Ovis aries: one gene and its partners. The protein of the gene in region 1 purifies or fractionates together with the protein of each later gene. This does not show direct contact. Links are inferred from orthologs where the notes say so. Each region holds a gene or a part of one and is shown in the gene's direction. Other genes may lie near its edges. The genes, in order: BAG3, DNAJB6 and PDLIM7.

Region 1 (4,185 bases):
GCTTAAACATCTCTGTGTTTTCACAAAGCTGAGTTTTTGTACTTCAAAGCTGGTAAGTAGACCTATGTAAGTGAGACCCCCATTCCATTGAAAATGATTGGCAGTTCTCTTCAGCATTTGCTCTAAAAGGAGTAATTTGGGGGTGGGAAGAGACTCCAAAAAAGTGTTTCTGAGGGTTCCAGAATGTCCTCTGCATTTGAGTTGGAATATTGGGCCCAATATTACTTAGCCCAAGGCATCTTCTCAAAAATGTTTCTGGGGAAGGGAATGATCCTGCAGGCCTAAAAATCTAAAATGAGACCTCCCAACATACCACCTCTGGGGGCATACTTTCTCTCTCTCTCCCAGAGGAAATGAGGTGCTTGGTGGAGGTTACAAGTGCAACCACCATTTCATTACACAAATTTTTTTTCATAATTTGTATTCTTTCCTACTTTTCAAAGGGCTTCCCAGGTGGCTCAGTGGGTAAAGAATCCGCCTGCAGTGCAAGAAACATGGGTTTGATCCCTAGGTCGGGAAGATCCCCTGGAGAGGGAAATGGCAACCCACTCCTGTATTATTCCCTGGACAGAGGTGCCTGGCAGGCTCCACAGGGTCGCTAAGAGTCGGAGGTGACTGAGCACGCATGATTTACACTACTTTCCAAATGAAGGTCAGATTAAGATAGCAAGAACCAACTTGCACCATCAACAAGCCCCAAACCCCAAAGAATGTTTTTTCTTTAAAGTTCTTCACTGCAACGACAGAGTCTACGTTTAAGACATGTGCTTCAGCAACATGCATGCGCTGATGCAATCTTTCTTTAGGATTCGAAAGAAAGGCAGGTGAATTTCTATTTGTACTTCCATTATTCGCCCTGGCTTGCTTCTGGTGTCGGATCAACATTCCAGAGCCCTTTCCGGACGGCCCTTAAGCCCATGGGGAAAAGTGATTAACTGAGGGTCACCAATGTCCCGGAGTATCAGTAATCTGGGGGTACAAAGGCGAGGTGGGAGAGACTCTAGTTTAATCCCCAACGACTTAAAAGGCTAACGATGAGTTTGTTTTTACACGAAGGAGCCAGTCCCGGGAACACCCACGCGGCTCGAAGAAGACCAAGCAAATCTGAAAACCGAAACCGGCCCAGGACACACAGATGACGTCCCCGGGGGTTCGCTCGACCTGCCGCTCGGCGACACAGGGATCCCGCGGATGCAAACCCCTCGCCCAGCTCAGGGAAGACTCCGCCAGGAGCCCCCGACCCGGGGAGCCGCGAATAGGGGGAAGAGGTGGCGGGGTGGAGGAGGGGCGGCCGGCGGAGGCCCCGCCCACGCCCCGCCCACGCCCCGCCCCGCCCCGATTATAGCTGATGACTCAGGGCGGAGCTCCGCATCCAACCCGCGTCGCCGCCAACTTCTCTGGATGGGACCAGAAGTTTCTAGCCGGCCAGTTGCTACCTCCCTTTATCTCCTCCTTCCCCTTTGGCAGCGAGGAGGCTATTTCCAGACACTTCCAGCCCTCTCCGGCCACGTCACCCCCTCCTTTAATTCATAAAGGTGCCCGGCGCCGGCTTCCCGGACACGTCGGCGGCGCTCCCGACTTTCCGCTCCGGCAGCGGCCAGCGAGCGACCCTACACCTGGAGGTCCGGCACCCCGCGACCCCGTGACCCGGCACCCCGCGACCAGGCACCCTGCAACCCAGCACCCCGGCGGCCGCCCCTCCGGGCCGACCCCGACCCAGCATGAGCGCAGCCACCCACTCGCCCATGGTGCAGATGGCGTCCGGCAACGGCGCCAGCGACCGCGACCCCCTGCCCCCCGGCTGGGAGATCAAGATCGACCCGCAGACCGGCTGGCCTTTCTTCGTGGACCACAACAACCGCACCACGACGTGGAACGACCCGCGCGTGCCCCCCGAGGGCCCCAAGGTGAGCAAGGCCCGCGCCGCACCCTTGCCAGTGGCTCCCCCTCCACCTTCCCCCCAGCCCCCCATCGACGGCCAGTCTAGGGACAGGGCCGGGCGGGGGCGGCTGGACTGGGCCCGGCTGCGGGGACGCAAGGCGCCAGGTGCCCGCCGGCCGCAGCCGGTGCCTCGGAGGTCAGTGAAGGCCGCCTGGAATGCACGGATCCCCAGAAGGACGCCAGCTCCCAGGGGGGTCGGCCTGCTGCGCCCCCCACGAGCCCACTCTCCAGGCCCGCCCTTGGCCGGCGTCTGGGCCAGTTTGGGGAGCTTCCCAAGAGGACTGCCCTCCCTTGGCCGTGTTTGGTTTCCGGGGGTCGGGCGGGAAGCGGGACCCGCGCGGTGGCACCAGGTCCCGTCCACCGGCTCCATTCGAGGGGCCCTGGGCCAGGAGACGACGGGTGGCCGGCCTGCTCAGCACCAAGGCCCGGGCCAGGCCCTGCCACGGTCTCCACCCGGCTTCCAGGGCTCAGATCCTCCTTTCTCTCTGCTGACCGTGCTTTGGCAGACGCCAGGGGACCGTTGGCAAGCTTCTGTGGGGGTCCTTTAGGGTCTCTTAGGAATTTTACATCCTCAAGTTCCTAAACTTGGTTGAGGGTATCTGGAGTTCACTCTCCCACCTCAGGCACAGAGTGACTCAGGAGACTGATGTAAATGCATTCCTTTTCTTTATTTTTTCCCTTCTGTATTTGAAATTAAAACTCTATTATTGTTTGAAAGTTGTCCTCACTAGGAATATATTCTAGTATGACTTGTTAAAAATAAGATGCAATCTTCCAGGCAATTTCTAAACTGAAGATGTGAGACTGTCTCCTAGTTGACTATTGCCTTAGATACTGCCTCACCCTGGTCAGAAAGAGATTAAAAAAAAAAAAAAATCAACACATTCCCTTTCTCGTTATGCTACTAAAATATTTAGGATTTTTTCTTATCCCCAATACACAAATAATTTAGTAGTAATACTTTTGTATTAGAAGTATGCCTCATTTACATATACGCAGGGGTGTATATACTACTTAATCCTTAGAACCATGAAAATTTGAAAATATAAACTTGGAATGAGTCTGTTAATTTAAAAAATTATAACTAATTGTACTGCTCTTGTAATTTTTATAACTTTGAGCTTTTTCAAAACGTAAAGCTTGGCAAAAAGAAATAGTCTGGGCAAAATAGAAGACATAAAGAGCTGGTAAGTTATTTTTAAGATTTAAAAATTCACAGAATTAAAAATGTTTTATAAACCATTGTTTTAGAAGAAAAAAATCTGTGTTAACCATCTTCAGTTTTATGCAGCTTTTTCCTTTAAAATATTTATGAAACTCTGGTGCCCAACAGTGAGATATTGTATAATCAGCAGCTTATGCTTATGAGAAATTAATTGTATATTTATTCCTGAAAATTATTTCAAGAGGCTGTAATTAGCTGGGATCGACATAACCATGTATTCCTTTCGCTTGTCTGTTCAGCCCATTATTGAGTGAAACTAAAGCTCATTTTAAACCAGCTCTGTTACTGCAGACTGCAAGGGTGTAGATCTTTACTGAGGCCAAAAAAAAAACCAACCTGTCTTTTTGAGGCTTCCTTCCTATAGAGACAGGAAGAGTCAGAATCCACTGGCGTCAGTGGTGGTGAGTGTAGGTCAAGTAGGAACGTATCCACTGTGAGTTCAGTGTACATGCCACATTGTTGGCGCTTGGTTTTCAACGTGAAACTCACCCAGCAGGTTGAGATCTTATGTATGATGGATGGTTAGGCTGTGGTTTTACAAACTTTTTCAAGGCAAGGGGGCGGGGGGAACAGGTTAAGTTACTGTTATTTTTCTCAACAAGTAGAACATAAGAGCTAGTAAATCAGAAGTTTGATGCCATAAAAGTTGATTTGAAAATTTAACAGAATTTTAAAGTTGAAAGATCGTTTAAGATCTTTTAGCTCAGCCTCTCTTTTTCTGAGAAAGAAACCCAGAGAGTTCACATGTGTTTCCAAAGGCCATTCAGCCAGGACCAATAGCAAAGAGAGACCTACACCGGAAAGTCCTATTTAAGAGGCAGTTTATTGTTCAGAGGAAGGTAGAAGAGTCTTAAATTTCTTAAATTTCTATGAAATTTAAGTGTGAACTGGGAAGGCTGGAGTACTTGATTGTTTTTCTGCCCTTCTGACTTTTGTGACTACTTGGATGGTGATGGCTGGATGTGATCAACTCAAAAAAAGAGCTGCTTACCAAATTAATTGAGATTTCTCAACGTGGC
Region 2 (3,509 bases), on another chromosome or scaffold:
CGGGGCTCCTGGCGCTGCGGGGGGCCGGCTTGTGCGACGTGAAGAGCCCAGCCGTGCAGGTACCACTGCTTATCAGGGGCTCCCAGAGGCCACGCCCCCTCCGTCATCCCTGGACGATGCCCGGTTCAAAGACCCTGTGGCCTGGTGCTCGTTAGAGAGAGGGCTTCATGGCGGCAGGCAGGAGGCGGGAGGGTGCCAGGAGTCGGCTGTGAGCCAGGGCGGGTGCCGGGTCAGCACAGCACAGCACGGGCCCCTCGCCGAGCTGGGTGTGGCCCGGGGGTGTGGGAGGGGCCACCCCGCGTGAGAGTGCACGAGCTGCCCTTGGTTCCAGCCTCACGGGTGCGTGTGCGCCCTGGTCGGGGGTAGACGGCCGTCTGCATGCCGAGAGGACCCTGGGGCCCAGGAGGGTCCCCCCTTGGCCTACAGTGGGCCCCAGTCTTCGGGGGGATCGCCAGGCCCCGAGCCCCGAGCTCTGTGCTGTGTGCTTTTGTAAAATAAGAGCAGCTGTCGAACTTAAACATGTTTTTCATTTTATTTATATGCCACGGGGCACACGGGATCTTAGTTCCCTAACCAGGGACCGAACCCTCTCCCCCGCAGTGGAGTGGAAGCCTGGCGTCCTGTGTGCCCCACACGGCGGGCCTGGTGTCTCCAGAGAGCTTCGTGCCCAGACAGACGGCAGGTGCAGCCCCGAGGACTGAGGAGGTGCTGGGGCCGGGAGGGGCTCTGCGGCTCCCACGGGGCCCCTGTCTGTGCGCTCGCGCCCCTGGAGCCCTTCCAGAGCAGAGGGGCATCCCGCGCACAGCCTGGTGGGCTGGCCTCACCCTCACACGGACGCGCCGGGGGTTTCCCTGAGCGGGACGGGGCTGGGGGAGCCCCGCCTCTCCTGCACAGCTGATGGGCCCTGGGGTTCTGAGGTGACCCGAGGTGGGTACCGGCAGCAGGCTGACCCCCAGGATGCCCACCCTTCCACATCCAGGCCGTTGTGGGCACGTGGCTGCCCACAGTGAGCCTGTCTAGCACCTGGACACTTGGGCCCCACCTGGCGGCGCGGTGTCCCTGCAAAAGCACGTTGAAGCCCCCGGGAGTGGTCAGCCGGCTGCTTCCTGCCGGGTGGACGGGAGCCCAGTGTGGGCCTGAGGTTGACCCTCGGCGGCAGGGTTGGGCCGCCCACCCTCCCCACTTGCGTCCTGCGGATTGGAGGTCGCGTCACCGTCACGGTCATGTATTAGCTGTGGCTCTGGGGCCCCCTCCCCCGGAGTGTTCCGTGTATTTGGGGGTCATGCCTGTGTCTGTGTGCTGGACCCCACAACCCGTAGGCCCCTGGGAGCTCCCAGCCCTGCTCCGCCTCGCGCCCCTGCACTCACGCACTTTCCTCCCGCAGACGGTCGTGTCCCAGAGGCGCTCTGTTCACGCACACAGCCCGTGTCCCCGTGGTGCTGGTGACCCCTCGGGGGTGGTGAGGCAGCCCTGTGCAGGCGGGGGGCCGGGAGTAAGGGTCACAGCCCGGCTTGCTTCCTCAGCCAGCGCCCCTCGGGGTGGATGTCTGCTGTGAGAGTGGCCAGGGCCCCACGCTGACCACCAGGTACCCCTCCCTGCTGCCAGGCCTGCGTGTGTGTTGCTGGAGGGGACCATGAGGCTGGTGGCGGCCCGCCCCAGGGCGCCTGCCAGGCCTGCAGGGCGGGCAGAGGCTTCGCAGGGCGCGGCGCCCGCTCAGGAGCCCTGGAGGCGCAGGCCCCGGGTCTGGGCTCCCCAGAGTCAGCTGCGCCTGGAGGGTGAGCGCCTGTGCTCCTGGAGGAGGACTCCTTGGCCAGGGCAGGTGTGGGGTTTGGGGAGGAGGCGTGTCTGGAGAGGACAGAGGCGAGGCCCCGCGCCCCAGCACAGCACCGAGCCTGGGGCCTGGGGCCCGGTTACCAGGGCAGAGCAGGGCTTTCATCTCGGGAGCATAGCGGTCATCTTGTCCTCCCCAGGGGGCAGCGGGACTGGAGTGGGGTCTGCGGTGGGCGGGGCAGCTGAGGGGGCACTGGCGTGCATGACCCCATGCCCCCACCACCCGGGGTCCCCATTTCCCACGTTTCTGGGCTGCTGGCAGCGTGCCCTCGCGTAGGGCGCTGTGACTGCAGAGAAGGAAGCCGGAAGTCGCTCGGTGGTGGCTGCCACTTGTTTCTTTCTGGTGTTCCTGGTGTTCGCATCATATGCAGAACTTCCTCCCATTTTCGAAAAGACTGATAGAAACACAACCCCTGAGCGCGGAGGCACGGCCTCGGCCGTTTGTCTGGTGTGACAAGTGACCGAGTGTGCGGGTCCTCGGCTCAGAGCTCCAGCGGCGCTCCGGCCTGCGCGGGGGACGCGGGGAGTCTGCTGCCTCCATCGCGGCAGGGCCCACGGCCGGCCCTGCCCTCTCCCCGGGGCGATGCCCGTGCAGCACGGCCCCGCTGTTGCCCCGGGGCCAACGGGGGGCTTTCGGGATCCTTGAGCCCGGGGCCCGGCGAGGCCCAGCCTGGTCCCCCCTTTCTCTCCGCGAGGCTCAGCTCCGGCCCCGCAGGCGCGAGGACGCGGCCCCGGCCCGGCTCACGCGCGTCTCGCCCTCTGCTTTCAGGTGTGGCCGACGAGGACGCCTTCGCGGAGGAGTGCCTGCGACGAGGCCAGAGCGCGCTGCCCGCCCAGCCCGCCAGCTCCAGCGCCCGCTCGCTGCGGCCGCCGCGGCCCGCGCCCCCGCCCCGGCCGGCAGCGCACGCCGCGGGGGAGGACGAGGACGCGCCGGGCGCCTTCTGCGCAGGTGTGCACCGGGACCCCGCCCCCCGGCCGCCGCGGGGCTCCCGAGGACCGAGACGCCTCCTGTGCTGCTGCGTGCTGGCCTGACGGGTGGGTGGGGGCGGCCGTGCGCGGCCACATTAAACGGGCGCCAGGCTCCCAGCACCGCATGTGTGTGTTGACTTGGCAGAGCCTGCGGGCACAGCCTGCCCCCAGGAGCCCTCCGTCAGCCGCTTGACCCCGCTTCCCGCCCTCGTGCTGATCATGCGCGCGGCCTTGGGGCCCCCTGCCCCTGGGGGCCCTCTCGCTGGGTCCCGGGTGCCGACCTGGCCCCCCCCTCCTCCAGTGGAGGGCTCCTGCCCGGGATCACACGGGCCCTGTCCCGCCCTATTTCAGCTTCTTGACCCGCCGTTATCTTGGGGGGCCCATGGGGGTCTGTGAACTGCGGTCCTCATAGAAGGTTCTGTATCACGTCTGAGGGCACGGCTCTGTGCAGGCTGGACCTGGCTGAGTCTGGAGCCAGGCGTCGGGAATCGATAGTTGGGGTTGTTCCTCAGTTCTCAGCGATCACTTTGGTTCTCAGGGCCGGAAGTCGCCAGGCTGACCACAGCTGGCCACGAGGTGGAGGGACAGGTGGCCCCTCACCCGCCGGGTCGGGATGGCGTCTCAGTGGGGCTGACTGCACCTGGGGCAAGGCAGGGACCTGAAAGGACAGGGCCTGCTGCTTTCTTCTCCTGGAACTTACTGCTGGCAGC
Region 3 (3,642 bases), on another chromosome or scaffold:
ACCAGGGCTCAGGGCTGGGGTGGCCTTCTGTCTGCTCTTGGTCAATGCCTGCCTCTGCCCTCTCAGTGCAAGACCCGGATGAGGAGCACCTGAAGAAATCAAGGTAACAGGTCAAGCTGCAGCCCCTCCTTCTCATCTCCGGCCTCTCCCATTCCAGCCCTGTCTGCTCCTGGCCATCCCTAGCCAGGTTCATCCGTTCTCCTTCCTTCCTCTGGTCCTCCCTCCCTGCCTCCCTTCCGTCTCTCCTTCCTTCCACTTCCTTCTCCTTCTCTCTCTACCCCTCAGGGAAAAGTATGTCCTGGAGCTGCAGAGCCCACGCTACACCCGCCTCCGGGACTGGCACCACCAGCGCTCTGCCCATGTGCTCAACGTGCAGTCGTAGCCTGGTCCTCACCAGCCGGCTGCCCTCTCTGCCTCTTTCTTGCTGTTCCTCCGCCCCAGGGCACCTCCCCTTGGCGCCTCCAGCTTCTGCCTGCCTCACCCATCCTTTTTCTGCCCCTGGACTGAGCCTCCTGCTGTCCTGGCCCCAGCTGCCCTCCTGGCACAGGGCCCGGCTCCATCTGACACCACTGCCTTTACTCTTTGCCCTGTGGTACTGCTGTCTGCCAGGTCTGTGCTGGCTTTTGGGGCATGAAAATAAACATTCTCAGCCCTGCTTTCTCTGCCTCTGTTCTCTTATCTTTGTGGACTTGGTTTGCATTTGGGGTCAGGGGTGTTAGATGGTTCAGATCCAGTGTGGGCCCTGCCAGTATGGGTCTCAGTGGGTGGGGGTACTCAGCAAAGGGCCCCCTGCCATCAGAAGGACCCTCGCGAGCGGCCCCAGAAGTGAGAGCCCTGCTTCACCTCCCAGCCCTGTGCGACAGACCAGCCAGCTGGAACCTGGCCAGGAGAAATTGCCCTACCCATCCCTGCCCTGGGGGGACCTGGAGTCCTCTGCTGTCATGCACCCAGGCATCTCTCATGGGGCCAGCAGGACCAAGTTTGGGGGGTGGGGCCATGCCAGGAGCCTCGGCCGTGCAGGGCCTTGAATGACAGATCTTACAGCCAGGTGCCCAGGACGGAAGCCCCAACCCCAGCCTCAGCTACACCCCAGGAACCCTGGCCTGGTGAGAGAGCGTGGGCTTGATGGGGAAGGGCGGGTAACCTCCAGAGGCATGGGGGTCGGGCCCCTCCAAGCTGCCCCAGGCTCTCCCCACTGTCCTGTGGTGTCCCTGGGCACCCCCATGGAGCCACTTTTCCTGGCCTTGGCAGGCCCTACCACCCCCAGTCCCACGAGCCGCCCACCCTGGGCTGTGGACCCTGCATTTGCTGAGCGCTATGCCCCGGACAAGACCAGCACGGTGCTGACCCGGCACACCCAGCCAGCCACACCCACGCCTATGCAGAACCGCACCTCCATCGTGCAGGCCGCCGCTGGAGGGGGCCATGGCGGGGGCGGGGGCAGCAACGGCAAGACTCCCGTGTGCCACCAGTGCCACAAGGTCATCCGGTGGGTGGCCCCGTTCCTTCCTACCCTGGTCTTTTCCTGAACTGGAACTCCAGCCCTTTCTGACCACTGCTCCTCCCATCTGTCTCCCTACTCATCTCAGCTGCCCCCTGCTCAGCCTCTCTTCAACATTTGGCCTGGCAAAATGGAGGGGTTGCCAACGACATAGCCAAGCTGCAGCCCTAGACTCGCTGCTCTCTGGGCCAGGAATGGCCTCCCTGCTCCCAGCCCCTCTGCCTTTCTCCTTCCTGCTCACTTGGTTTCTCTCTGCTAAGCCTCTCAAGTTCCTCCCTCTCTGCGCTGCTCCCCAGGGCCCAGCAGAGTCCCACAGCCCCCAGAATCGGATCTGTGTCAGGCCCCAGAACCTTCCTAGTTCTCATACGAGGCACTGCCCTGCTGTCAACTCCTGTCAGCTCTTAAGCTCTGGAAAGCACCCCCTCGTTCAGACATCCCCATTTATCTGGGATGGCCGGGTCCCTCTCCAGCATGGATGGAACAGGCCAGCGGAACAGAGTGGGCACCAGGCTCAGCTCAAGTACCCACTGGTCTTCAGGGCTCGCAGGTACTCCAGGCCTGCTGTCCCCCAGGACACCAACCCCTTGGGTTCAACTTATTAGGCTCAAGTCAGCAGTCTTCACCCAGTGTCACCTTCCTCCCTTTCCTGACACTACCCTTCTCCCTCACCTCCTGTCATCAAAACAGTGCAGCTTTTTAAAATATTTATTTGGGTGCCTCTGATCTTAGTTGCAGCACGTGGAACCTTAGTCGCAATGCACGTGCTCTCTAATTGTGGCACATGAGCTCAGTCGCCCGGAGGCATGTGGGATGTTAGTTCCTCAACTAGGGATTGAACCCGTGTCCCCTGTCTTGGGAGGCAAATTGTTAACCATTGCACCACCAGGGAAGTCCCACAATAGTCAGCTTTGTCTTGCTGTTTGATCTTAGGCAAGTCACCTTTCAAGCCTGTCTGTTCCCTCTTTGGAGAAGGCAGTGGCACTCCACTCCAGTACTCTTGCCTGGAAAATCCCATGGATGGAGGAGCCTGGTAGGCTGCAGTCCATGGGGTCACTACGAGTTGGACATAACTGAGCAACTTCACTTTCACTTTTCACTTTCATGCATTGGAGAAGAAAATGGCAACCCACTCCAGTGTTCTTGCCTGGAGAATTCCAGGGATGGGGGAGACTGGTGGGCTGCTGTCTATGGGGTCGCACAGAGTCGGACACGACTGAAGCGACTTAGCAGCAGCAGCAGCAGCTTCCCTGTTTGGAGATGAAGAGAATGAATGTTCCCTTCAAGGTTTCATAATGGGTGTGGGGTAAACCCTGTGGGGTGCTGGCCAGGAACCCCGACTTCATTTGCACCCACTCCCACTCATTGCCCTCTCTTTCGCCTGCAGGGGCCGCTACCTGGTGGCGCTGGGCCACGCGTACCACCCTGAGGAGTTTGTGTGCAGCCAGTGTGGGAAGGTTCTGGAAGAGGGTGGCTTCTTCGAGGAGAAGGGGGCCATCTTCTGCCCACCCTGCTACGATGTGCGCTATGCACCCAGTTGTGCCAAGTGCAAGAAGAAAATCACCGGCGTGAGTGGGGCTGGCAGCTGGCGGGGGTGCTGGGAGGGCAAGCCTGACTCTTCAGCGTTGAGGAGTGTTGAGCAGCTCCTGGGCTGGGGGGCTCTCCCTGCAGGACCCTGTTGGAACCTTACCAGCCTCATAATTGGGCTACTATATTGACCTTACTTTACATTAGCCAGGATTGTCTTTACAGGTGACTTAAATCCTAACTCTAAAGGGCTCAAGCAGGAGAGATTTGGCGCCAGTAGTCAGAAAGGCTGAGGGCTGCTAACTTCTGGCCCAGCTGAATGCAGATCCAGGTCGTCAGGAGTCTTGCACTTGCCTCTGGTTTCATCTGTGTTGGCTTTGTTCCCAGCTTGCATTTCCATAGAAAGCGGCAAGATGCTGCTACATCAGTGGCTCCAGGGTTGCATCTCCCAGGTTAGCACTGCAGAGAAAGAGAGCACCCCTGTGCCAGCTGATGCATCGAGTCCCAGTGCTGATGCTCGTTGGCCTGGCTTGCTTCACATGCCCATCTCTGAATCAAGCCCTGTGACTCTAGTTGGCCAGGCCTGGGTGACACCCACCTCTGGAACGGGATCTGGT

Evidence for each region.
Region 2: the proteins of BAG3 (region 1) and DNAJB6 purify together in Homo sapiens (co-immunoprecipitation; 3 studies listed by BioGRID and IntAct, with this or other methods). This does not show direct contact. The link is inferred for Ovis aries from reciprocal best matches to the Homo sapiens genes BAG3 and DNAJB6.
Region 3: the proteins of BAG3 (region 1) and PDLIM7 purify together in Homo sapiens (affinity purification with mass spectrometry; 3 studies listed by BioGRID and IntAct, counting the BioPlex papers as one, with this or other methods). This does not show direct contact. The link is inferred for Ovis aries from reciprocal best matches to the Homo sapiens genes BAG3 and PDLIM7.

What each region holds. Positions count from the first base shown.
Region 1 is NC_056075.1:39,287,685-39,291,869, forward strand, and holds the start of BAG3 (BAG family molecular chaperone regulator 3), read left to right. Parts: upstream 1-1,368; 5' UTR 1,369-1,721; coding exon 1,722-1,907; intron 1,908-4,185. UniProt on the Homo sapiens protein: Co-chaperone and adapter protein that connects different classes of molecular chaperones including heat shock proteins 70 (HSP70s), e.g. HSPA1A/HSP70 or HSPA8/HSC70, and small heat shock proteins (sHSPs), e.g. HSPB8.
Region 2 is NC_056057.1:120,238,412-120,241,920, forward strand, and holds part of DNAJB6 (dnaJ homolog subfamily B member 6), read left to right. Parts: intron 1-600; coding exon of another isoform or gene 601-701; exon of another isoform or gene 702-2,163; intron 2,164-2,599; coding exon 2,600-2,779; coding exon of another isoform or gene 2,780-2,862; exon of another isoform or gene 2,863-2,865; intron 2,866-3,509. UniProt on the Homo sapiens protein: Has a stimulatory effect on the ATPase activity of HSP70 in a dose-dependent and time-dependent manner and hence acts as a co-chaperone of HSP70. Plays an indispensable role in the organization of KRT8/KRT18 filaments.
Region 3 is NC_056058.1:36,691,258-36,694,899, reverse strand, and holds part of PDLIM7 (PDZ and LIM domain protein 7), read left to right. Parts: intron 1-66; coding exon 67-103; intron 104-285; coding exon of another isoform or gene 286-382; exon of another isoform or gene 383-656; intron 657-1,035; coding exon 1,036-1,106; intron 1,107-1,251; coding exon 1,252-1,489; intron 1,490-2,885; coding exon 2,886-3,066; intron 3,067-3,642. UniProt on the Homo sapiens protein: May function as a scaffold on which the coordinated assembly of proteins can occur. May play a role as an adapter that, via its PDZ domain, localizes LIM-binding proteins to actin filaments of both skeletal muscle and nonmuscle tissues.